Linked DNA regions of Saccharomyces cerevisiae S288C. The main gene of each other region encodes a partner of the protein of the gene in region 2 in a complex. Each region holds a gene or a part of one and is shown on either strand. Other genes may lie near its edges. A codon is read from its position in the direction of its gene.

Region 1 (5,887 bases), on a different chromosome or scaffold from region 2:
GGCGATTGCTCCAGAAACAAGCTACAGTTTTGTCATCATCGCTACAGACATTGAAGGATTTTCTGCCGTTGAGGTAGAATTCGAATTAGTCATCGGGGCTCACCAGTTAACTACCTCTATTCAAAATAGTTTGATAATCAACGTTACTGACACAGGTAACGTTTCATATGACTTACCTCTAAACTATGTTTATCTCGATGACGATCCTATTTCTTCTGATAAATTGGGTTCTATAAACTTATTGGATGCTCCAGACTGGGTGGCATTAGATAATGCTACCATTTCCGGGTCTGTCCCAGATGAATTACTCGGTAAGAACTCCAATCCTGCCAATTTTTCTGTGTCCATTTATGATACTTATGGTGATGTGATTTATTTCAACTTCGAAGTTGTCTCCACAACGGATTTGTTTGCCATTAGTTCTCTTCCCAATATTAACGCTACAAGGGGTGAATGGTTCTCCTACTATTTTTTGCCTTCTCAGTTTACAGACTACGTGAATACAAACGTTTCATTAGAGTTTACTAATTCAAGCCAAGACCATGACTGGGTGAAATTCCAATCATCTAATTTAACATTAGCTGGAGAAGTGCCCAAGAATTTCGACAAGCTTTCATTAGGTTTGAAAGCGAACCAAGGTTCACAATCTCAAGAGCTATATTTTAACATCATTGGCATGGATTCAAAGATAACTCACTCAAACCACAGTGCGAATGCAACGTCCACAAGAAGTTCTCACCACTCCACCTCAACAAGTTCTTACACATCTTCTACTTACACTGCAAAAATTTCTTCTACCTCCGCTGCTGCTACTTCTTCTGCTCCAGCAGCGCTGCCAGCAGCCAATAAAACTTCATCTCACAATAAAAAAGCAGTAGCAATTGCGTGCGGTGTTGCTATCCCATTAGGCGTTATCCTAGTAGCTCTCATTTGCTTCCTAATATTCTGGAGACGCAGAAGGGAAAATCCAGACGATGAAAACTTACCGCATGCTATTAGTGGACCTGATTTGAATAATCCTGCAAATAAACCAAATCAAGAAAACGCTACACCTTTGAACAACCCCTTTGATGATGATGCTTCCTCGTACGATGATACTTCAATAGCAAGAAGATTGGCTGCTTTGAACACTTTGAAATTGGATAACCACTCTGCCACTGAATCTGATATTTCCAGCGTGGATGAAAAGAGAGATTCTCTATCAGGTATGAATACATACAATGATCAGTTCCAATCCCAAAGTAAAGAAGAATTATTAGCAAAACCCCCAGTACAGCCTCCAGAGAGCCCGTTCTTTGACCCACAGAATAGGTCTTCTTCTGTGTATATGGATAGTGAACCAGCAGTAAATAAATCCTGGCGATATACTGGCAACCTGTCACCAGTCTCTGATATTGTCAGAGACAGTTACGGATCACAAAAAACTGTTGATACAGAAAAACTTTTCGATTTAGAAGCACCAGAGAAGGAAAAACGTACGTCAAGGGATGTCACTATGTCTTCACTGGACCCTTGGAACAGCAATATTAGCCCTTCTCCCGTAAGAAAATCAGTAACACCATCACCATATAACGTAACGAAGCATCGTAACCGCCACTTACAAAATATTCAAGACTCTCAAAGCGGTAAAAACGGAATCACTCCCACAACAATGTCAACTTCATCTTCTGACGATTTTGTTCCGGTTAAAGATGGTGAAAATTTTTGCTGGGTCCATAGCATGGAACCAGACAGAAGACCAAGTAAGAAAAGGTTAGTAGATTTTTCAAATAAGAGTAATGTCAATGTTGGTCAAGTTAAGGACATTCACGGACGCATCCCAGAAATGCTGTGATTATACGCAACGATATTTTGCTTAATTTTATTTTCCTGTTTTATTTTTTATTAGTGGTTTACAGATACCCTATATTTTATTTAGTTTTTATACTTAGAGACATTTAATTTTAATTCCATTCTTCAAATTTCATTTTTGCACTTAAAACAAAGATCCAAAAATGCTCTCGCCCTCTTCATATTGAGAATACACTCCATTCAAAATTTTGTCGTCACCGCTGATTAATTTTTCACTAAACTGATGAATAATCAAAGGCCCCACGTCAGAACCGACTAAAGAAGTGAGTTTTATTTTAGGAGGTTGAAAACCATTATTGTCTGGTAAATTTTCATCTTCTTGACATTTAACCCAGTTTGAATCCCTTTCAATTTCTGCTTTTTCCTCCAAACTATCGACCCTCCTGTTTCTGTCCAACTTATGTCCTAGTTCCAATTCGATCGCATTAATAACTGCTTCAAATGTTATTGTGTCATCGTTGACTTTAGGTAATTTCTCCAAATGCATAATCAAACTATTTAAGGAAGATCGGAATTCGTCGAACACTTCAGTTTCCGTAATGATCTGATCGTCTTTATCCACATGTTGTAATTCACTAAAATCTAAAACGTATTTTTCAATGCATAAATCGTTCTTTTTATTAATAATGCAGATGGAAAATCTGTAAACGTGCGTTAATTTAGAAAGAACATCCAGTATAAGTTCTTCTATATAGTCAATTAAAGCAGGATGCCTATTAATGGGAACGAACTGCGGCAAGTTGAATGACTGGTAAGTAGTGTAGTCGAATGACTGAGGTGGGTATACATTTCTATAAAATAAAATCAAATTAATGTAGCATTTTAAGTATACCCTCAGCCACTTCTCTACCCATCTATTCATAAAGCTGACGCAACGATTACTATTTTTTTTTTCTTCTTGGATCTCAGTCGTCGCAAAAACGTATACCTTCTTTTTCCGACCTTTTTTTTAGCTTTCTGGAAAAGTTTATATTAGTTAAACAGGGTCTAGTCTTAGTGTGAAAGCTAGTGGTTTCGATTGACTGATATTAAGAAAGTGGAAATTAAATTAGTAGTGTAGACGTATATGCATATGTATTTCTCGCCTGTTTATGTTTCTACGTACTTTTGATTTATAGCAAGGGGAAAAGAAATACATACTATTTTTTGGTAAAGGTGAAAGCATAATGTAAAAGCTAGAATAAAATGGACGAAATAAAGAGAGGCTTAGTTCATCTTTTTTCCAAAAAGCACCCAATGATAATAACTAAAATGAAAAGGATTTGCCATCTGTCAGCAACATCAGTTGTGTGAGCAATAATAAAATCATCACCTCCGTTGCCTTTAGCGCGTTTGTCGTTTGTATCTTCCGTAATTTTAGTCTTATCAATGGGAATCATAAATTTTCCAATGAATTAGCAATTTCGTCCAATTCTTTTTGAGCTTCTTCATATTTGCTTTGGAATTCTTCGCACTTCTTTTCCCATTCATCTCTTTCTTCTTCCAAAGCAACGATCCTTCTACCCATTTGCTCAGAGTTCAAATCGGCCTCTTTCAGTTTATCCATTGCTTCCTTCAGTTTGGCTTCACTGTCTTCTAGCTGTTGTTCTAGATCCTGGTTTTTCTTGGTGTAGTTCTCATTATTAGATCTCAAGTTATTGGAGTCTTCAGCCAATTGCTTTGTATCAGACAATTGACTCTCTAACTTCTCCACTTCACTGTCGAGTTGCTCGTTTTTAGCGGACAAAGATTTAATCTCGTTTTCTTTTTCAGTGTTAGATTGCTCTAATTCTTTGAGCTGTTCTCTCAGCTCCTCATATTTTTCTTGCCATGACTCAGATTCTAATTTTAAGCTATTCAATTTCTCTTTGATCTTCTCCATTTTGCTAATTGCTATTTTAGATGCTTTCTCAACCTCATGAGAAAAAAATTACTAGATTAATATTCCTTATGTTTACATTCTTTTATACCAACCTATTATTGTTGAATCTACAGGTTTTTCGTAGTATATGACAATAATAACTCGAATTCTGCTAAGAGAACATCGTTTATAGTACTATTTTAGAAGACTACTAAATCTACGTACGATAGTGTGTTGAAATACTTGTAAAAAATCAGACCAAGGAGGCCAAGTCTCTTCTTATAGTCTTTCTGGACTCTTCATCTTGCTGGACAGAGGCCCAGATGTCGTCCAAAGATAACAAGCTTTGACCCAACTTCTCTTTCTCCAAATTAATAAACTTTTCTATCTTCTGTGGCTCGTCTGCTACAAACATTTGAAAGATTATCAGGGAAATACTCCTTAACGCCTTGTGTAGATGATCCCCCGTGGTGGTACCTTTCCTTGTAGCCTTCCGTGCCCATTGGTCAAAATTGCCCATATACCACTCCCAGATCGTTTCACGAACGACTTGGTCTTGAGGTTTCTCGTTTTTGTTCAGCCTCTTCTTAAAGTTGTAATTAAATCCGAATAATGCCAGTTCCATCCCCTCTGACTCAATATTGGAAGTGATAAAATTCAAAGTTTTTTTCACGATATCAGAATCTAAACAGAATCCAAGAGATTCTATTGCACCGTTTTGAATCAACATGGCGGTTTCGCTACTGTTTTGGTCATACATATTAATGACATGGTTTGTGATACCAGTACAGGAACTGCGTTTCACCAAATCGAATATTTTCTTCCACTGCTTGATGTTTGCACAATGTTGCGATACGACGACAAGGATTGAGTTCACTAATTCTAACGGTACGCTCGAACGTGGGCCCTGTAATAGATGTTTAAAATAAATTTGACACAATTCAGCACATTTTGCGGAGTTTTTATTTAAAAACAAGACTTGAGACATGACTTTCAACTCGTGAGGGTTTGTGCTTTTATCAAATTCACCGTGGGGCCAATCAATCTTATTGAAAAGGGGAATGACAATTTTTTTCTTTAAGAAAGATTGTAATTTAGAGCTCGTTAAACTGGCACGATCGATCGTTTGCAGAACTTCCAACCCCTTGGAAAGAGGATCCCAATATTTTGATGCAATCTTTGTGGAAGGAGAAGCGATATGGTTTAGTATCTTAAAGAGACCGTGCAAATGAATAGAATTCTGGAAACCCTCATCTCCAATAAACTGCGACAAGTCTAAGAAAATCTTCCGAAGGTCAATCTCGGATAACGTCTCCTCAGTTATTTTATCATTAATCAATGCATAGCACTCTTCGGACTCATATGAAACGCGGTAATAACCTTGGGCTAAATGGTTAATTACTAAGATAGGATAATCGAACTTTAAGGTCCTATCCGTCAATAGTACATTTTTAGTATCCATTTTACCATCTGGCAGAACCCCGAATAAGGGTACCTGATATGGGACATCTTCTAACTGATCCTTTTCTTCAGTAGATAATTGATTGATAAATCTGTGTTGAGTCAATTTTGTTTGCGTTTTCCCGTCTTTCTCTTCTACTTCGACCTTAACGACAGGTAAGCCTGGCGTTCTTGTCCAAGATGAAACAAAGTTTGTAATATTTTGAGACTTCAAAAATTTTCCGATATGATTCCATATATCCATTGGTTTGACGCTTCTCGCATGAAATGTTTTAGTATCTTCAAATACACTTTCCAGGCCCTTTTGTAGATGAGATTCGCCTGTAGCCAATTGCAGGGACCTCAGCATGATAATACCCTTTGTGTATGCCTCAGGATCAAAAATATCGGAGGTTTGAGAATCTATGCCAGTGTTCCGTTGCGCAATCTGAAATATGCTTCTTCCATTAACGTCAGCTGCATCTCTGCACATGGTCGGCTCCACTTGCTGTAGTAAATAAGGTTCCGAGGTCCAATAATGGGATAGGTCACCATTCTGTTCTAGTATGTGGCAAGCTAACCAAGTAGCGAAAGACTCATTAAACCAAAGAGATTCCCACGAGTCAAAAGATATGTAGTTGCCCATCCATTGATGAACGAGTTCGTGGACAATGAGTTGCTGTGCTTGCTCTCTGACGGTTTCATTGGCCAAGGCATTTGGTGGTATGAGCAGGTGGTTTAGTTGGATGGTGATCA
Region 2 (10,370 bases):
TTGTCATCAAAAGCTCTCTTAGATCTTTGAATTTGTTCTTCCAAACTTCTAGCGATCTAAATCTAAAAATCTGATTGTTGGCCAGACAGAGGTTTTTCAAATTAGGAAATGTTTGAGCCAATGTGGAAATTGCTGAGATGTCCTTAAGTTGGTTGTCAGCAAGATTGACACTTTCCACTATCAAACTTTTTTCTGTAGAAGCCAGTTTCATCATTGCTGGAAACATCTTAGACTGGGTGGAGATGGAACTAAAGACGCCCTTTTGAATTAGCTCGGGATCTGAATGTAAAGCGCCCAAATTTAGTAATTTTGTTTGTGGGTCATACCTCTTAAGGAGCACCCCCCTCAAGAACGAAATGGTGTCTGAAGTTCCCGCAGAGGCCCCATTGTTATCTAAAAGTTCGAACTTTAAATTACTGCCTGCAAACCGGACACCGTTCCATTTCATTAACGATTCTGCTTCTGCCTTTGAGTTGACATATCCAATAACTAAAGGTCCTTCCACATGAGCGTCATAAACAGCTACTCGAGCGTTGCGGCTTATAAAATTAATCAAATCGTTCATGGTTGCATTCTGCCAGTTCCTCACGCTAATCTTTATTCTATTTTGTTGCATCTGCTGTTGAGCCATCATATTGATATTTCCAACATTGTGAAATCCGCTCATTTTTTTTGCTGCTATTAGCGATGCAGAATTTTTAACGATTTATTTTACTCTTCCTTCTTAGAGTAAGTATGTCTTCAACAGTCTGTTACTATTTTTTTTTCTACATACTCAATTCAGCTCTTACTGAAATTTTCTTCTGGAAAAAAAAGGAAGACGGGTAATGATGATCTTATATAACAGTATAATCTGTAGGTATATTTATCGTTAGAATCCTCTACGAAAGGCAAGTGGGCATGGATTTCTAGCTTTTGAAGCCGCGTTTAAGTTTCTTCAGAATTAATATTCGTAGAAATTTTCTGTTCTTTGCTTCTTTTCTGAGCTTTGGTGGAATAAACTTGGTTCCATTCAACTTAAAGGAAGGAGGAAGTACTGTTCAAAATGACAGTTTTATACACATCTGCATCGCTGAAAAAAATGAAGTGCTTGGCATTCAACATGGGCATGAATTGCGTACGAACAGTATCTCATGCAAGAAGTGGAGGTGCAAAATTTGGAGGACGGAATGTATTTAATATATTTGACTCAAAAACTCCTGATTCAGTGCGTATAAAGGCCTTCAAAAACACAATATACCAGTCTGCCATGGGCAAAGGTAAGACCAAGTTTTCTGCAATGGAAATTAATCTCATAACAAGTCTAGTGCGCGGATATAAAGGAGAAGGTAAGAAGAACGCGATAAATCCTCTCCAAACTAACGTGCAAATTCTTAACAAATTATTACTAACACATCGATTAACAGACAAAGACATATTAGAAGGAATGAACCTGGCAGCCGGTCCTGTCAATGTTGCTATTCCTCGAGACATAACACCGCAGGAAGAAAAGAAGAAAGTTGAACTAAGAAATCGAAAAGCAGAGAATATGGATCTTCACCCGAGCAGGAAGATGCATATTAAGGAACTTCTACACTCTTTGAACTTAGATATGTGTAATGATGAGGAGGTTTATCAGAAAATATCACTTTACTTACAGAAAAATGAGGAAAGCAGGACTTCAGTGGGTGCCTCGCAACAAAACCACGTAGATATCGATATAAACTCCCTAAAACGCTATCTACAAAATATTGAAAAGAAGGCACGTCAAAAAAGTGCCATCGATAAACAAAAAAAGAATCAAGCTCGTATATATCAATGGAATACTCAATCCTTCTCCGAAATAGTACCCTTATCAGCTGGAAATATCTTATTCAAAAGGGAACCCAATCGCTTATGGAAACGTTTACAAAATGGAATAAGTGTATTTTTAGGTTCAAACGGAGGAGGAAAAAAGAGTAAAACTACTAAAAAAGTACTTCAAGGGAATAACATATTGTTACACTCATTAGAAAACAATAAGGATATGACCCTGTCAAACAACTTTGATCACAGTGTCTTTAACATCAATTTTACGGACTTATTTGGCGTTATTAATGCATCTGGGTCCCCACCAGATAGAGTTTTGAACGAAATTAATGAGATCGAATTAAAAGGTTGGAAATGTGTGGGGAACTTATACGATAATAATAAAATTGTAGTTTTTCAAAGTAGCAATCCACTCTTAGAGGATACGAAGATTCCTCAAAAGTCTTTCACTAATTCAAAGAGATTCCTTATTTCACTCTCAGCATTGCTGGCCTCCTTTTTTGCATATTATAGATACCGTCTATCTCAACGTCAAGAATCAAAGAAATGATTTTTTTCTTTCTTGTATATAACAACGTTATACATAGAAACAAATAACTACTCATCATTTTGCGAGACATATCTGTGTCTAGATTACCAATCATTTAGAGATATTAATGCTTCTTCCCTTTGAACAGATTGATTATCTCTCAAGTATCTTTCTGCTTTGACACGAGAGTAAAATACTGGACAGTCATATGAATTGCATTTACTAGCTATATGGTCATTTTCGATGCCTGCATCGGAAGTGTAACGATAACTGCACGTCCTGCACACGGTCTTTAGTGTTTGGTATTCTTTTTGTCTCTTTAATTTCTTTATGAGAAATGATAAGGTTGTGGTGCTTCTTTTCTCTAAACAGTCATCACATAACTGAAGTGAACATATTTTAGTCAATTCTTCACCACAATTACAACATGTTGCAGAAGTTCCTACTCTTGTTATGTTTTCCACTTTTGTAGTAGTTGTGCTCGCCCTTTTGGATTTTACTATTTCCTGAGCCCAGTTGCCAACATTTATACCAATCAAATTGAACAATCTATCAAGAGGAGGTATCAGAATTTTGTTTATATAATACTCCGAATCTAACTCTAAATTCTCACCTTCTAAGAACTCTTCTGGTGATACGCATCTTTCCCGAAGCAGTTGTCCTTGCTTTCCTTTAACAACAAGGTAAGGTATACGCTCCTTGTATTGGGGTTCTGCTCTATGGTCTTCATTTATTCTTCTTTTTACAACCACGGCACCTGCAGGGGCTGTCTTTTCGCTTTTATACGCTCCTAATTTAACTTCTTTTGCAAAACAAAAATCTTGGGCAGATACCTTTCCTATTTGAATCTTAAAAAATTCATTTTGAAGATACTTTTTTATTTTTGACAGGTCTTTGGTTTGAAAAAGTAATCGAATACATTTTTCAATAATCTTCTGCTGGGCTGGGATACCATCCCTTCTAACAGTTTCAATACCCTTAGCATCAAAAATAGGAAGGGTCTGCGAAGGACTTTCATAGGAAAATCCTACGTACCTTTTTTTGCTAATTAATATGGAGGGATGGTATACTTTTTCAAACTTCAAAAAGATTGGTTTTGGATTGTTTTGAGTAACTCTTTCTGCCATAGCATGTCCTATAGAAAAAGCCTCAATAGCAGTTTTTCCAGGTAGATATACAAATAAACTATCTGTGTCTCCATAGACAACTTTGGCGTTCCAAGTTTCATCTTTCTCAATAATATCTATTGCTTTCTCCAATGTTTCTCTGCCTGTTTGTACAATGCTATCAGCTAAATCAGAGCATGGCATTCGTCCAGAAAATGAAGCTGATGTATAACCGTAGGTGACATTCGCCAATAATTTTAGTGCTAACTGTTTGTTATTCAAAAGCCTTTTTAGGGTAGTGTTGTCATCACCTATTTCGTTCATTGTTTTCTTTATCATCACTCTGACATCAAGGATATCTGTTAACATTTTGGATAACGTTGATTTTCTAACAGAGGTCTTGGCATAAACAACACCATTTGGAGCGATAGTTACATCATTTTTTAATAAAGCTAAAATGTTTCTTGGTAATGAAAACTTAGATACTCCAAGGTTATTTTCCGTTAAGTTTATTTCTCGCACTCTTCCTATCATAGTCGAATAGCAATAGTTGTATCCAATCATAATGGATGGATACAATGATTGGAAATCCAGCACAATTAAAGGACTTTTGTAGAAAGCAGATTCTGGCTCCATAACCAAAGGCACACATTCAAGTGCTTTTTGCTTACGAACATCCTTTTTGCCTGGAGAAAGAAGGATAAAACTTTCGGACTTGCATATTCGGATTAAAAAAGACTCAACTTTAAATTGTGATCCTCTGTAATATACAGAATGGAAATCTATTCCTATCAATCTTGCCTGTTCGATATTTCGAGCAATGTAATCCTGCTTTCTTAATAGTTGTATATTTATCTGAGCTCTTGATAACCAATAATTTAACACAGTCTTTAATTCGGTTGTGCTCTTTTTAGCGTTCCACATATTAGTTAATGACTCAAATGAAAAGTGAGGTAATCGTTTATGGAGGATATTGAACGCAGCACTTTCAATAGTATATTGCGTTAAATTTACGTCGGACCTCAACGCTCTCCATATATTAATCATATGTCTTCCGGTAATCATAATTCCTGAGGAATGGGCATATCCCCAAGTATCTGACAACTTCGTCTTAATTTGGCATTTGACTCTGGCAAGTTCCCTGACAATGTCAAATTGATGTATTTTTTGACACCTTTCAATTATATAACCCCACGAAAAATTATGTATTTCGAAACCGGAAAGAATATCAGGATCAAGAAGTAATACCAAATCAGTTAGAGCCTCAAACATTTCAAATTCACTTTCATAGAACATCACGGGAATTTCGTTAATACAATGTTGAATTTTAGTAGGAAATGTACTATCCTCAGAAGCTTTGTGGACTATCATAATCCCTTCGTAAGCGATATCCAAATCTAAAGGGAAAGTTTCTTCTTCAAGACACCATATAATCATGGAAACTTCATCTATTGCAGGGTCTGGAATTTTATCACTTCTCGTGTTTGCATGAATCTCAAGTGTCAGATGAGTAAGAGAATCGTGAACGCTACTTTTTTTTCTTTTTTGTTTTCCAGAAACGTCACTAGCAAATTTGTATAAAAACTTACTATGAGGGGTGTGCATGCTTATCTGAGACTCAGTTTTTTTGTTTCCCATCGAGGGTACTTTATTGTACCATTTTTGAACAGCATCATACGTAGGTGGTTTTAACGCATATTTCCAGGAGGAAAACATGTCGAAAGTTGGCTTGTTATAAACTGATACGGTCTCTCCCCCAAATTGGACGGGTATTCTCGTTGATACATGTGTCGAGCTTATTTCAAACCTCTTACCTGCGTACGCGTAAGGTTTATTTTCTAGATCAACTGGATTCGAAAAGAAAGGGTCCTTATAGTCTATTTTTGGGAATCCCTCGTCTTCCAATTTATTCAGAATATCTTGATAACCGAAAGGAGGCTCACCATAAACAAAGGCTCTTTTTCCATAGCGTAATCCCGCAGCCATAACCTTCTTTCTTTTCCGAGACAGCAACGATGTTTTATTAGCAGAAACAGATGATCTAAGTTTTCGTTTACTTGCCATATTTTGCGTCATAGCACAATCCATTGAAAAATTTATCGTATTGTGATATTTTGTTTGATGATCTAATAGTATAGTAGAATCTTTCGGAGACGCAATGCTTTCCGGTAACCATGAATAAGACCGAGACTTTATATTGCTTCCTTTTACACCTTCGTTCTCATTATCAACACCACATATCTCGTATTCGGTGAACGATGCATTAACTTGGTCGTCGTTCTTTTTATCTTGCATACTATTATTGTTTATTTCAATCTGTGGAAGCCTTGGCCACAATTGCGGTAATGCTTCATAGGGCGTATTTATGGCTGAGAATTTTTGATTCTTATCTATAAAGTTCTCAAAATTTGGTATTTGACCATCAAAAGTACTTGTTTTATGTTGTGCTTTCTTATAAAACGCTTCGAACTCTCCAGAAGATTGCCATTGATGACCACTCACATGGCGCTTTGTTTCTGGTGGTTCTTTATATTCCTTCAAGGACAACTCCTCTCGTTGCATGGTAAGTTCATTTATCATGTCCCTAGCAGAGGATACATATGGTTTGACAGGTATGTCAGAAATATCTCCCAGTTTTTCCAAAAAGTCGTGATGTATATCTCTATGCTGTAACTTTTCTCTATTTTTGATGAATTGCGGTAGTATATCTATCTCAATCAATCCATTTCCAACCCGTGGAAAATCCCTTCTACTGAGTACGTTACACTTGAAGTCACAAAATCGATCTAGTAACAACTGAAGATCATCATTAATTGTCAGCTTATCTATGTCCAGTATACTATTTAAAACAGGAGAGCGAAAATAACACCTATCCACGTTTATCCATGAACATCCAAATAAGTTAAAATCTGCGGTCCATTGTAGCAAGTAAGGAATATGTGATTCATAAATTTCGAATTTCTTTCCGAAAATCTTGCCATCTCTAATCAATTCCGAAATCCTACTTAGACAAGAAGGATTAAGCAAAGAAATTTTGTAAAACAGATTCCAGCCAACGTGGTAACCATAAAATGGTATACCCTTTACAACAGAGACATCAGCGACAAAATTGAGATTTCCAAGTTTGTCGCCGGCTAAATCGTGTTTATCATCTTTTTTCCTTTTAAAGGATGCCCTAATTTTTACTTCCAGCGTTTTATGAACTTGGGCACATCTTTGGTGTCTCAATGTACTCGTGTCAGTTATTTGTCCATCATACTTGATGAACATGTAAGGTAGAATGCCATGGACGTGGCACAATACTTGATGCCCTGTGGGTAAAGCACCAAACACCCTGATGTTTGGGACCTGTGAAAACTGGTTTAAGGGCAGGCTTTCACCGTGCGATGGGTCCAAAAAGGTGGGTTTTGACATATAGTAGTCTTGATTATTTAGCTGGATTCTAAAATAGTCTGATTTAGAGGATGATCTAACCGTATCGCTCTGTATTGTGTCGTTCGACTCCCTCGACATTTCCAAACATTTTATTTCGCCACAACTTGTAGTTTTGTATTGACTCAAATACTTTCTCTTGTTTTGTGCTTCTATTACAGAGATGGCTTTTTTCTTCAAGTACACTATTTCTAGACGCACTGCACTCGTCAAAAAAATGATTCAAGGTGAAAATAAAGGGGTGTTAGTGAATACTTATCAAGAAGAGACATACATAATTGTACTGCTGTGCATTTTCCTACTTGACTTTCATGATTATGAATAGTACAAACACAGTTGTATATATCAAAGTTAAGGGTAGGAGACCACAGGGATTCTTGGATCCTCCCAAATTTGAGTGGAATGGAACAAAGGAGCGACAGCTTTGGACAATGGTATCAAATTTGAATTATTCACAAGATCAAATAGATTGGCAGAATTTATCAAAAATATTTGAAACGCCTGAATTTTTTCTTAAAAAGAGAACATATAAATTATTTGCTGAACACTTAGAGCTTTTACAACTACAATTGGAGAAAAAAAGAGATCTTGAGAAGTATTCAAATGATCAAGTGAATGAAGGGATGTCTGATTTAATACATAAATATACCCCTACTTTACAAAATGATAATCTATTAAATGTATCCGCAAGCCCACTGACCACGGAAAGACAGGATTCTGAAGAAGTTGAGACAGAAGTAACAAATGAGGCGTTACAACATTTGCAAACTTCCAAAATTTTGAACATTCACAAGAAAACATCGGATAGTGAGAATAAGCCTAATGACAAATTGGATAAGGATGGTATTAATAAAGAAATGGAGTGCGGTAGTTCAGATGACGATTTATCTTCGAGCTTAAGTGTTAGTAAATCTGCGTTGGAAGAAGCGCTAATGGACAGATTGCAATTCTGATTTACATCTTTCACAAGCACAATCAAAAAACCAACTGTCGGCCAAAAAGGCCCGGCGTTTTACTGTTGGTAAGTCCAGTACCCCGGAATAATCGATACAGATCTGCTCATCCTTTTTTATATCTCTATTCATAGTGAATAGCATTGAATTACCTTTACGATATTTCGTTATATTGGGGTTACAAGAGTGGTTGAAATAGGAGGCTTCTGGAAATACCCAGTATCCAAAATATTCTCTGCTGTCTGAGGCTTCGCCCTCTTGCCATAAACCAAAAGCATTCCCATATTCAGTACCTAATATATGTCTCAATAGCGGTATGGAGAGCATTCTATGCAAATGTGAAGGTAATAGAATATAGAGTGTTTGAAATACTAATTTTTGAAAGTGCAGTAAGACAGGAAATTTAGATATTTTGCTAAGCTCATTCGATTGTAACATATTGAAAGCTCGGTATGTTATGCACTGAGGATCCATATATTTAAGATTAAACAAACTCTCGCACACAAACCTAATGCAGCAATATTCATCTTCGCAAGTGGGTGGTAATTGATTTATTCTCTTCGCAGATTTCATGTTGTTGATGCGCGGTATCCATTTACTTTCAATCTCATCCCATGAAGACTGTATGACATTTTCCGAAATTAAGATAGAGTTTAATTTTTCCTCCTGTTCAGAGGTATAATTATATCTTTTCAGCATGCTTGGAAAATGATGCAGTAATATCTCATAACATTCAATTAATTCAATGATATTTGGTATTTGAAGATAAGAAGTTCTGCAATGTTCTGAACAGAACCACAGTCCAGCGCCCAGAAACTTCTTAGGGTTAATTTGGTAGTGTGCATTACAAACCAAATCTCTCAGGTAATCGTAGTTTAGTTTGTACTTCATAGTTTTCGCATTAGCGTATGCGAAACAATTGTGACAAACTTCCTTCCTGAACTCATAGGAAATAGATGTTCCTGTAAAATTACTGACTTGCAAGACTGTTGTCCCTTTAGGAATATTACCATTACTGAAACAAGCCCTACCGCCCCATTTAGTTTGCCTAACCTGGAAAAATGGGGAAATTTCATGTACGTCTCCATCAATAGTCATTTTTAAATTTTAGGTTATTTTGTGTTTGCATATATAAATGGTATATATATATATATATATATTCATATAAATCTAGGGCTACATTTATAATATCAGAGATACATAAAACGGTAATGCAACAGTGGAGCAGTATTGTATCGCACGTTTCTTTTTTGTTTTTGTTTTTTAAATTTTTCCAGGTTTTGACAACGTGATGAGGTAATCTTCTGTTTTGCATATCCGCGCAATTTAAAATGCAGGCGACAAACCTTGTTCCAGGATTAAGGTTCTCTTTACTTCAATTCTGCAATGGGTACCATAGAAGGTCTCCCGTGGGCGCATTCGAATGGGTTATGGCATCGCGAGAGCTTGCTAATTAAAATTATGCACTCTTGCCGGGTTAATTCATCTCCAAACATAACAGCAGATCTGCATGCCTTGCTGTTAAGAATTTCATGAAAGACCGTTGGAACGCAGCTTGAGTACTTCCACCAATATAATTTATCAACCGAAGTGTAGTTTTCGAAATGGGATAAATCCATTGGAAGTTTTTTGAAATCCTTCAGGTCATGAGCATGTTGCAGCAAGACCATTTTTAAGTAGTCTTTATCCCCGTTATATTTGGAAGTTAACATCTCAGGCAGTGTTTTAATTTCCAAAAGTGAGGTTTCCATTGTTCCCTCAATTGTTTCATAGCCAATTCCCCACTTTTTAAATTCACTTTGATAATGCTTAAATAAGTCAGCCTCAGTACGATCAACTTCAATGCAACAATCCTTGAGGTCTCGTGCAACAAAAGTTCCGGTTACAACTTCTGTCAACAGGCTATAAAATAGCTCTTCTAGTCTTATCCTCTCATCGCAAGCATGTTGATCAACTAGAACTAATAGTGGGCAATTATGAATAGATTGGTCTAAACAACGTATGAGAATAAATTTTTTATCTACTTGATTAATCACTTCATATTTTGCCAGGACAGATCTTGATATTGAAAAATCTGTTATGGTTTTTCCTATACTGTCATAATCTTCTGTAAAACCACTATCGTAGGGCCTGGAAGAGAGTTTATTCCGTAACCTTGATTTCTGACCGTCGATTCTTATATTCTTGATTTTTTCGTAGTTTATTGTACTATTGTTTATTCTACATCCATTGACAGCGGGTTTTCCTATGTATGAATTAATGCGTGCAATCTTCATTTTTGAATTTAATACTTGATTACGTTTACTGATTTGGATTCGACTATCAGGCAATGTTGCCGTCTTCTGTGAACAATTGACTATTTCGAAAGATGAATCTGATTTATCAGGCGTTAAGTATCCTTGAAATGTCAGAAAGGAGCGAATGGTCTTAACGATCAATGGTTCAATGGTACGTATATGGGAAGGCTTAACAATTTTCTTTGCTGGATCTTGTAACAGGTCATCGATAGTTTGGGGGCACCGAACATCAAGGATGAAGACGGGATGTGATCGATACGGTTTT
Region 3 (6,971 bases), on a different chromosome or scaffold from region 2:
TTCCCATTCATGCATATCACTTACCTTTCCTTAATCATGATCTCTTTAGTGCCATCAGAACTATTTTCTTAACATCGCGATTCTGTCTTCCGGGTATCGCTCCAAAAATGTGCGAGGAAATAGGAGATCGTTCAAATCATCAACTTTTAGTATTGGGTATCAAAGTATCGCAGCCTGGAAACAGAATTAATCTACTGCACAAGAAGGGAATACAGCAAGAACATTCACTTCATTAATAGGACGTATTTCGCTTATGTCCGATCAAAAAGTTTTTGCCAGATATAAAGCAAATGAAATCGTCACAGATCTGCAACATTTTGGAGTAAAAAAGTTTAAATCGAATATAACAAGAAGGAAAAATGCTCTGAGAAAAATTATCGCCAATTTGGTTCTAGGAAACTATGGCGAAATGTCCGTTCTGTTTTCTGAGCTCTTGAAATTTTGGCAAATTGAAGATGATCTAGAAGTGAAAAGAATTTGCCATGAGTATATTAGGGTGATCGGCGCATTAAAACCTCAGCAGGCCAGAGAGGCTTTGCCATTTATAATGGACGATTTCAAAAGCAGAGATGAAAAGTTACAAATAATGGCACTAAGAACTCTGGTATTAGTCCCGGTGAAAGAGCTATCTGATCAGGCCTTCGACTGTATCATTTCATTGGTAAATCACAAGTCTCCACCTGAACAAGTGACGAGGACAGCAATTTACGCACTGTTGGATTTAGATGAAATTGATCATGAAAGGGTATTGGGGTTATCAAGCATTCTACATGACATTGTAAAAGCACAGTCGAGCTCTCCAGAAGTCATTGTAGCTGCATTACATACTTTATATTCCATTCACGAAAAAAACGCTAACATGGAACCCTTCAGGATTCCCTTGGAACTCGCTTTTGACATGCTAGAGCTTTTACCCGAATTAAATGAGTGGAATAAGGCTACTGTTTTGGAAGTTTTGACGACTTCGGTTGTGCCGCAGCATTATTTGGATACCCATGAAATGATCGAACTAGCTTTACCGTACCTGCAACAAGTAAACACATACGTAGTGTTGAACTCTTTAAAATTCATCATGTACTTGTTGAATTATGTTGACGTCATCAAAGAAACTCTAGCCGAAAAGCTATCTAACTCTGTAATAGCTTTGTTAGATAAGCCGCCTGAATTACAATTTTTAGTATTAAGAAACGTTATTCTTCTTTTATTGAGTAGGGAGTCATCTCTACTCAGGCTAGACATTTCGTATTTTTTCATCGAGTACAATGACCCCATATACATCAAAGACACGAAATTAGAGTGTTTATATCTTTTAGCTAACAAGGAAACATTACCAAGAATTCTAGAAGAGTTGGAACAATATGCTACAGATATTGATATTCAAATGTCAAGGAAATCAGTCAGAGCCATTGGTAATCTGGCTGTTAAGCTAGATGAAGACTCTGTACACGATTGTGTCGCTGTTCTACTAGATTTGTTAGAATTCGGTGTTGATTATGTCGTCCAGGAGATTATTTCGGTTTTCAGAAATATTTTGAGGAAATATCCCAATAATTTTAAAGCAAACGTAACAGAACTAGTCAAACACACTGAAGTTGTACAGGAACCTGAATCAAAAAACGCTATGATCTGGATAATAACGCAATATTCGGATGTAATTCCAAACTACCTGGAGTTATTTAGAGTTTTTTCCTCAAACATGTTTAGTGAGACGCTAGAAGTGCAATTTTCCATTCTGAACTCAGCAATAAAATTCTTCATCAGAAGTCCTACAAAGGAAACTGAAGAACTTTGTATGGATTTATTAAAAGGATGCATCGATCACGAAAATAATCCTGACTTAAGAGATAAAACACTGATGTATTGGAGATTGCTGTCATTAACGAAAACGTCTCGTATATCAAACGCGATAACTTTTGAATCTTTAAAATCAGTACTGGACGGAGAGTTGCCACTAATAGAAATGAACACGAAATTAGATCCCACCGTTTTGGAGGAATTGGAGCTAAACATTGGTACAATAGTATCGATTTACTTAAAACCTGTTTCTCATATCTTTAGATTGAATAAAACCAAACTGCTACCACAAAGTCCTATTTTGAATCCAAACAAAGACCTCTTGCCAGTTGTAGGTAACTCATTTCCTCCAACTGGAGCTAATAGGGACCGTCAAAATTCAGAAAGCCAGTCCTCGACGAAGTCCAGAAAGACTGCTATGATGGATGATTATGATAAGCCCGCTGAAAAAATTAATCAGTTGAAAGGTAAGCGTAAATCTAGTTCAAACAACCCCTCAAAACTATCACGGAAACCCTCAACTTTATTAAGAAAACTCTCTATGAAACGGCCCTTTTCGTGACTGCAAATGATACTAATTCCTGTATTTAAATATACTCATATTTAACGAACAATTATGATGAATGAAAAAACCTGATATAATAGACTTAACTAAGCGATCATAAAAAAATTCAAAAAGTTATTTTATAAAACAATTCAGATGTTAAACTAAAGAGTTAATGTAATATATATACAATGAACTGCGTCATAAATTCCCATAGTTCAGCTCATGGGACATTATCTACTTATAAAGACGTGGCTTGGCAGCATTTCATATATAAGGCTACTGAATGTAAATTTTTCTTCCATTGTCTTTCCCGTGTCCCGAGAACTCAATTCAAGCACTGTTCTTGGGCGTAATAAACCTTCCGGTACTACTAAAATCAGACAAAGGCAGGAAGCCTCGATTTGACCTTTTAACGGGTAAAGCTCTAAAAGTTGCTCTCTGCTCCATATTCTCGTTTTCCGTCATTTCAGTATCTTTTTCCCCTGCCTCCCTTACCTAAAGCTTCCTCTTCGGCGGCTAGTAATTGGTCTCTTTCCTTTTTGGCTCTTAGCTTCTCTGTCTTTTTTTGTTCCATAATCAGCTTCTTCTGGTTAGGGGTTCTCGCACCTTCTTCCCACCTCTGAGCTTCTTGAGCTTCTAGTTGTTGTTTCTCTAGTTGGTCCTTTTCGTAAGCTTGCCTACGTTTTCTTGCTCTTCCTGCTGCCACTTTTTTGGCAGTTTCTGAGTATCTCTTGCCAGTATTATGCATGTTCGCTTCTTCACTATGTTTGGTGGTTTCTAATGACAACTATGCGGTTAGCAAACTTCCAAAAGGCGGTTAATAATACGACTACACATTATCCTATATATATATATATATGTACGCAAGTGCTTAGATTGGAAAAAAGGGTGCAACATTCTCGATTGTTCTATTTCAGCCTGTTGATATCAATCTGTCGTTCAATGCTTTGTGGGTGTGCTTTACCCACTCTTATACAGTAGTTAAGTGGCAAAAAGGGTGTCAAAGGGAAAGGAAAACCAGAGGAAAAGCAAAATAGCCGCCAATACTAACTCTAGATTTATATCATGTTATACGATTAATCAGACGCGTCTGATTAATTTCAAAAGTTAAAATATAAACTATTTTTGAAATCCCATTGCAATAAGCGAACTATAGCTGAATCTTTCCTGCAAAAATGGAAGTGAAGGGCAATGGACGCATTGTTAACAAAGTTCAACGAGGATAGAAGTCTCCAAGATGAAAACTTGTCCCAACCACGAACGAGAGTAAGAATTGTTGACGACAATCTTTACAACAAATCGAATCCATTCCAACTATGCTATAAAAAACGTGACTACGGTTCTCAGTACTACCACATTTATCAATACCGTCTAAAGACTTTCAGAGAACGCGTCTTAAAAGAATGTGACAAGAGATGGGATGCGGGCTTTACCTTGAATGGCCAATTAGTTCTAAAAAAGGACAAAGTGTTAGATATTCAGGGAAACCAACCATGTTGGTGCGTAGGATCCATATATTGCGAGATGAAATATAAACCAAACGTACTGGACGAAGTGATCAATGATACATATGGTGCACCAGATTTAACTAAAAGTTATACTGATAAAGAGGGTGGTTCTGATGAAATTATGCTCGAAGATGAAAGTGGGAGAGTGCTTCTAGTGGGAGATTTTATTCGGTCTACACCCTTCATCACGGGTGTTGTTGTAGGTATACTGGGTATGGAAGCTGAAGCCGGGACATTTCAAGTTTTAGACATATGCTACCCCACTCCTTTACCACAAAATCCTTTCCCTGCACCAATTGCTACCTGCCCCACCAGGGGAAAAATTGCTCTTGTTTCTGGGTTAAACCTCAATAATACATCACCTGATAGGCTATTGAGATTGGAGATTTTGAGAGAATTTTTGATGGGGAGAATCAATAACAAAATTGACGACATTTCTCTAATTGGTAGATTACTGATATGCGGCAACTCTGTTGACTTCGACATTAAAAGCGTGAACAAAGACGAATTGATGATTTCTCTAACTGAGTTCAGTAAATTTCTACACAACATTTTGCCATCTATATCTGTTGATATTATGCCCGGAACCAATGATCCAAGTGACAAATCTCTACCGCAACAGCCTTTCCACAAATCATTGTTTGATAAGTCCCTAGAATCATACTTCAACGGTTCTAACAAAGAAATTTTGAATTTAGTGACCAACCCATATGAGTTTAGCTATAATGGCGTAGACGTTCTAGCCGTTTCAGGCAAAAATATCAATGATATTTGTAAATACGTAATACCATCAAATGATAACGGAGAAAGTGAAAACAAGGTCGAGGAGGGCGAGAGTAATGATTTCAAAGACGATATAGAGCATCGCCTGGACCTTATGGAATGTACAATGAAATGGCAAAACATCGCGCCCACCGCACCTGATACCTTATGGTGTTATCCGTACACTGATAAGGATCCATTTGTATTGGATAAGTGGCCCCACGTTTACATTGTGGCAAACCAGCCATATTTTGGAACAAGAGTAGTGGAAATAGGTGGTAAGAACATAAAGATAATATCTGTCCCTGAATTCAGTTCTACTGGGATGATAATATTACTGGATTTGGAAACGTTAGAAGCAGAGACGGTCAAGATTGACATTTAAATAAAACAAGGAATAATTTCCACATAGATATGCAATTAAGTTTTATATGTAAAAGTGAGCATTCATCGTTCAGCTCAAAATACGTTTCTTGTCACAGCTGGTAGAAAAACTATGAGCGTTTTTTCTTACCCGCAGTCGGAGAAAAATTTTTTCTTCGAAGAGGCGAAAAAGAGAAGAAGAGAAAGCACAAATCTGATGAAATAGTAGTATAAAATCGCATTTACAAATTTTCAACCATTGTTTATTTCCTAGGTCATTAAAGAGTAAAGTGCAATCTGTTTACTAATCAGTTTTTGTCTTCATATTTTTGTGTCTTTTCTGCTGCCTCACGCACCTTCTATAATACACCAAATAATGTCCACTTCTCATTGCAGATTTTATGAAAACAAATACCCAGAAATTGACGATATCGTCATGGTTAACGTCCAGCAGATTGCTGAAATGGGTGCTTATGTTAAATTGTTAGAATATGACAACATTGAAGGTATGATTCTACTAAGTGAATTGTCCCGTAGACGTATTAGGTCAATCCAAAAATTAATTCGTGTTGGTAAAAATGATGTCGCCGTTGTTCTTCGTGTCGACAAAGAAAAAGGTTATATTGATTTGTCCAAACGTCGTGTTTCTTCTGAAGATATCATTAAATGTGAAGAAAAATACCAAAAATCTAAGACTGTTCATTCCATTTTAAGATACTGTGCCGAAAAATTCCAAATCCCTTTGGAAGAACTATATAAGACCATTGCTTGGCCATTAAGTCGAAAATTTGGTCACGCTTACGAAGCTTTCAAACTATCCATCATTGACGAAACTGTTTGGGAAGGTATTGAACCGCCATCAAAAGATGTTTTAGATGAATTAAAGAACTATATCTCCAAGAGATTAACACCACAAGCTGTAAAGATTAGAGCCGATGTTGAAGTGTCTTGTTTTAGTTACGAAGGTATCGATGCCATTAAAGACGCATTAAAATCAGCTGAAGACATGTCCACAGAACAAATGCAAGTTAAAGTTAAATTAGTCGCCGCCCCATTATATGTTTTGACCACCCAAGCCTTGGATAAGCAAAAAGGTATTGAACAACTGGAAAGCGCTATTGAAAAAATTACAGAGGTTATTACAAAATACGGCGGTGTTTGCAACATTACCATGCCACCAAAGGCTGTCACTGCTACTGAAGACGCTGAGTTACAAGCTCTATTAGAAAGCAAAGAATTAGATAATAGATCTGACTCTGAAGACGATGAGGATGAGTCAGACGACGAGTAATCATTGCCGCGCCTAATTTTTCTAGGTGTTTTCAAGTGTCATACTGTTTTAGAAAATTTTGTATAGAACAAATACGTATATCCTGCCATATCATATTCTTTGCAATATACACCTTGTACATTTGGCTATTATAAATATTACAATCCATTTAATCATAATCAAAATTTAATTTCTGTTACCACGGGGTTGTCAGTGGAGCATGCCCTGCCGGTTCTCTATAATTTATCTTTTTCACATGAGATATTTTTACCTCAAAAGGTAGTGATGCTGTAATAATATGAGGCTCCCCCCTTTCCTTCGGAATTGCATTTAAATCATTGGGGAACACTAAGACAAGACAAAGGGGCCGTCCACTCATGTGATTTTCAACAAAACAGATAACATGCGGATACACACTGATATATTTTCAAAGGAAAGTCTGACTGATACTTAAGTGAAGTGGTCCTAGTCGGTGGCTTAGGTGGACTACAGTGCAAAGAATAGAATTTTTCAAACATGTCAATACGTCCAGCAACACATGCAGGCTCATGGTATTCCAATAGAGCCCAAGAATTATCTCAACAACTGCATACATACTTGATCAAAAGTACCCTTAAAGGCCCAATTCACAACGCCAGAATTATCATATGTCCTCATGCCGGTTACAGGTATTGTGGACCCACTATGGCCTACTCGTACGCATCGTTGGATTTGAACCGTAATGTTA

What was found. The genes of interacting proteins can lie anywhere in the genome.
Region 1: the proteins of REV3 (region 2) and REV7 are in contact, whole or in part, in a cryo-EM structure (PDB 7LXD), measured with the Saccharomyces cerevisiae proteins. Residues at the interface, in NP_015158.1 of Saccharomyces cerevisiae: Asn554 (codon at 5,277), Pro555 (codon at 5,274), Val556 (codon at 5,271), Asn560 (codon at 5,259), Lys561 (codon at 5,256), Pro562 (codon at 5,253), Tyr563 (codon at 5,250), His576 (codon at 5,211), Val577 (codon at 5,208), Ser578 (codon at 5,205), Ser591 (codon at 5,166), Val592 (codon at 5,163), Asn594 (codon at 5,157), Pro596 (codon at 5,151), Thr597 (codon at 5,148), Phe598 (codon at 5,145), Asp599 (codon at 5,142), Met600 (codon at 5,139), Phe601 (codon at 5,136), Ser602 (codon at 5,133), Ser603 (codon at 5,130), Trp604 (codon at 5,127), Lys605 (codon at 5,124), Tyr606 (codon at 5,121), Ala607 (codon at 5,118), Leu608 (codon at 5,115), Pro610 (codon at 5,109), Pro611 (codon at 5,106), Thr612 (codon at 5,103), Tyr613 (codon at 5,100); in NP_012127.1 of Saccharomyces cerevisiae: Asn25 (codon at 2,641), Val26 (codon at 2,638), Tyr27 (codon at 2,635), Pro28 (codon at 2,632), Gln30 (codon at 2,626), Ser31 (codon at 2,623), Asn49 (codon at 2,569), Arg50 (codon at 2,566), His51 (codon at 2,563), Pro52 (codon at 2,560), Leu54 (codon at 2,554), Tyr57 (codon at 2,545), Glu60 (codon at 2,536), Leu61 (codon at 2,533), Asp64 (codon at 2,524), Tyr73 (codon at 2,497), Cys78 (codon at 2,482), Lys82 (codon at 2,470), Asp137 (codon at 2,305), Phe141 (codon at 2,293), Glu142 (codon at 2,290), Ala143 (codon at 2,287), Val144 (codon at 2,284), Ile145 (codon at 2,281), Asn146 (codon at 2,278), Ala147 (codon at 2,275), Ile148 (codon at 2,272), Glu149 (codon at 2,269), Leu150 (codon at 2,266), Glu151 (codon at 2,263).
Region 3: the proteins of REV3 (region 2) and POL31 are in contact, whole or in part, in a cryo-EM structure (PDB 7LXD), measured with the Saccharomyces cerevisiae proteins. Residues at the interface, in NP_015158.1 of Saccharomyces cerevisiae: Glu722 (codon at 4,773), Asp723 (codon at 4,770), Thr725 (codon at 4,764), Thr728 (codon at 4,755), Lys729 (codon at 4,752), His732 (codon at 4,743), Cys733 (codon at 4,740), Phe846 (codon at 4,401), His850 (codon at 4,389), Lys851 (codon at 4,386), Arg852 (codon at 4,383), Lys868 (codon at 4,335), Ser870 (codon at 4,329), Thr871 (codon at 4,326), Lys875 (codon at 4,314), Thr1423 (codon at 2,670), Thr1425 (codon at 2,664), Leu1426 (codon at 2,661), Ser1427 (codon at 2,658), Leu1429 (codon at 2,652), Ile1430 (codon at 2,649), Leu1433 (codon at 2,640), Lys1434 (codon at 2,637), Gln1436 (codon at 2,631), Lys1437 (codon at 2,628), Tyr1439 (codon at 2,622), Gln1440 (codon at 2,619), Lys1443 (codon at 2,610), Val1445 (codon at 2,604), Arg1447 (codon at 2,598); in NP_012539.1 of Saccharomyces cerevisiae: Ser51 (codon at 3,683), Gln52 (codon at 3,686), Tyr53 (codon at 3,689), Tyr54 (codon at 3,692), Tyr57 (codon at 3,701), Gln58 (codon at 3,704), Val93 (codon at 3,809), Leu94 (codon at 3,812), Gln97 (codon at 3,821), Tyr109 (codon at 3,857), Cys110 (codon at 3,860), Glu111 (codon at 3,863), Met112 (codon at 3,866), Lys113 (codon at 3,869), Tyr114 (codon at 3,872), Thr126 (codon at 3,908), Tyr127 (codon at 3,911), Gly128 (codon at 3,914), Ala129 (codon at 3,917), Pro130 (codon at 3,920), Leu132 (codon at 3,926), Thr133 (codon at 3,929), Lys134 (codon at 3,932), Tyr136 (codon at 3,938), Thr137 (codon at 3,941), Glu140 (codon at 3,950), Gly141 (codon at 3,953), Glu149 (codon at 3,977), Glu151 (codon at 3,983), Ser152 (codon at 3,986).

The regions. Positions count from the first base shown.
Region 1 is NC_001141.2:86,004-91,890, forward strand, and holds REV7 (Rev7p), read right to left. Parts: upstream 2,714-5,887; coding exon 1,976-2,713; downstream 1-1,975. Other genes in the region: AXL2 (Axl2p), read left to right, coding at 1-1,834; tropomyosin TPM2, read right to left, coding at 3,227-3,712; TMA108 (Tma108p), read right to left, coding at 3,945-5,887. UniProt on the Saccharomyces cerevisiae protein: Required for DNA damage induced mutagenesis. Involved in DNA repair, mitochondrial DNA repair and translesion synthesis. Has a role in the bypass of abasic (AP) sites.
Region 2 is NC_001148.4:230,172-240,541, forward strand, and holds REV3 (DNA-directed DNA polymerase), read right to left. Parts: upstream 6,937-10,370; coding exon 2,422-6,936; downstream 1-2,421. Other genes in the region: MEX67 (Mex67p), read right to left, coding at 1-667; MRX4 (Mrx4p), read left to right, coding at 1,046-2,338; ATG29 (Atg29p), read left to right, coding at 7,167-7,808; SET6 (Set6p), read right to left, coding at 7,785-8,906; mismatch repair protein MLH3, read right to left, coding at 9,179-10,370. UniProt on the Saccharomyces cerevisiae protein: Nonessential DNA polymerase. Required for DNA damage induced mutagenesis. Involved in DNA repair, mitochondrial DNA repair and translesion synthesis.
Region 3 is NC_001142.9:445,670-452,640, forward strand, and holds POL31 (DNA-directed DNA polymerase delta subunit POL31), read left to right. Parts: upstream 1-3,532; coding exon 3,533-4,996; downstream 4,997-6,971. Other genes in the region: APL1 (Apl1p), read left to right, coding at 254-2,356; LSO1 (Lso1p), read right to left, coding at 2,808-3,089; SUI2 (translation initiation factor eIF2 subunit alpha), read left to right, coding at 5,351-6,265; MHO1 (Mho1p), read left to right, coding at 6,761-6,971. UniProt on the Saccharomyces cerevisiae protein: DNA polymerase delta (DNA polymerase III) participates in chromosomal DNA replication.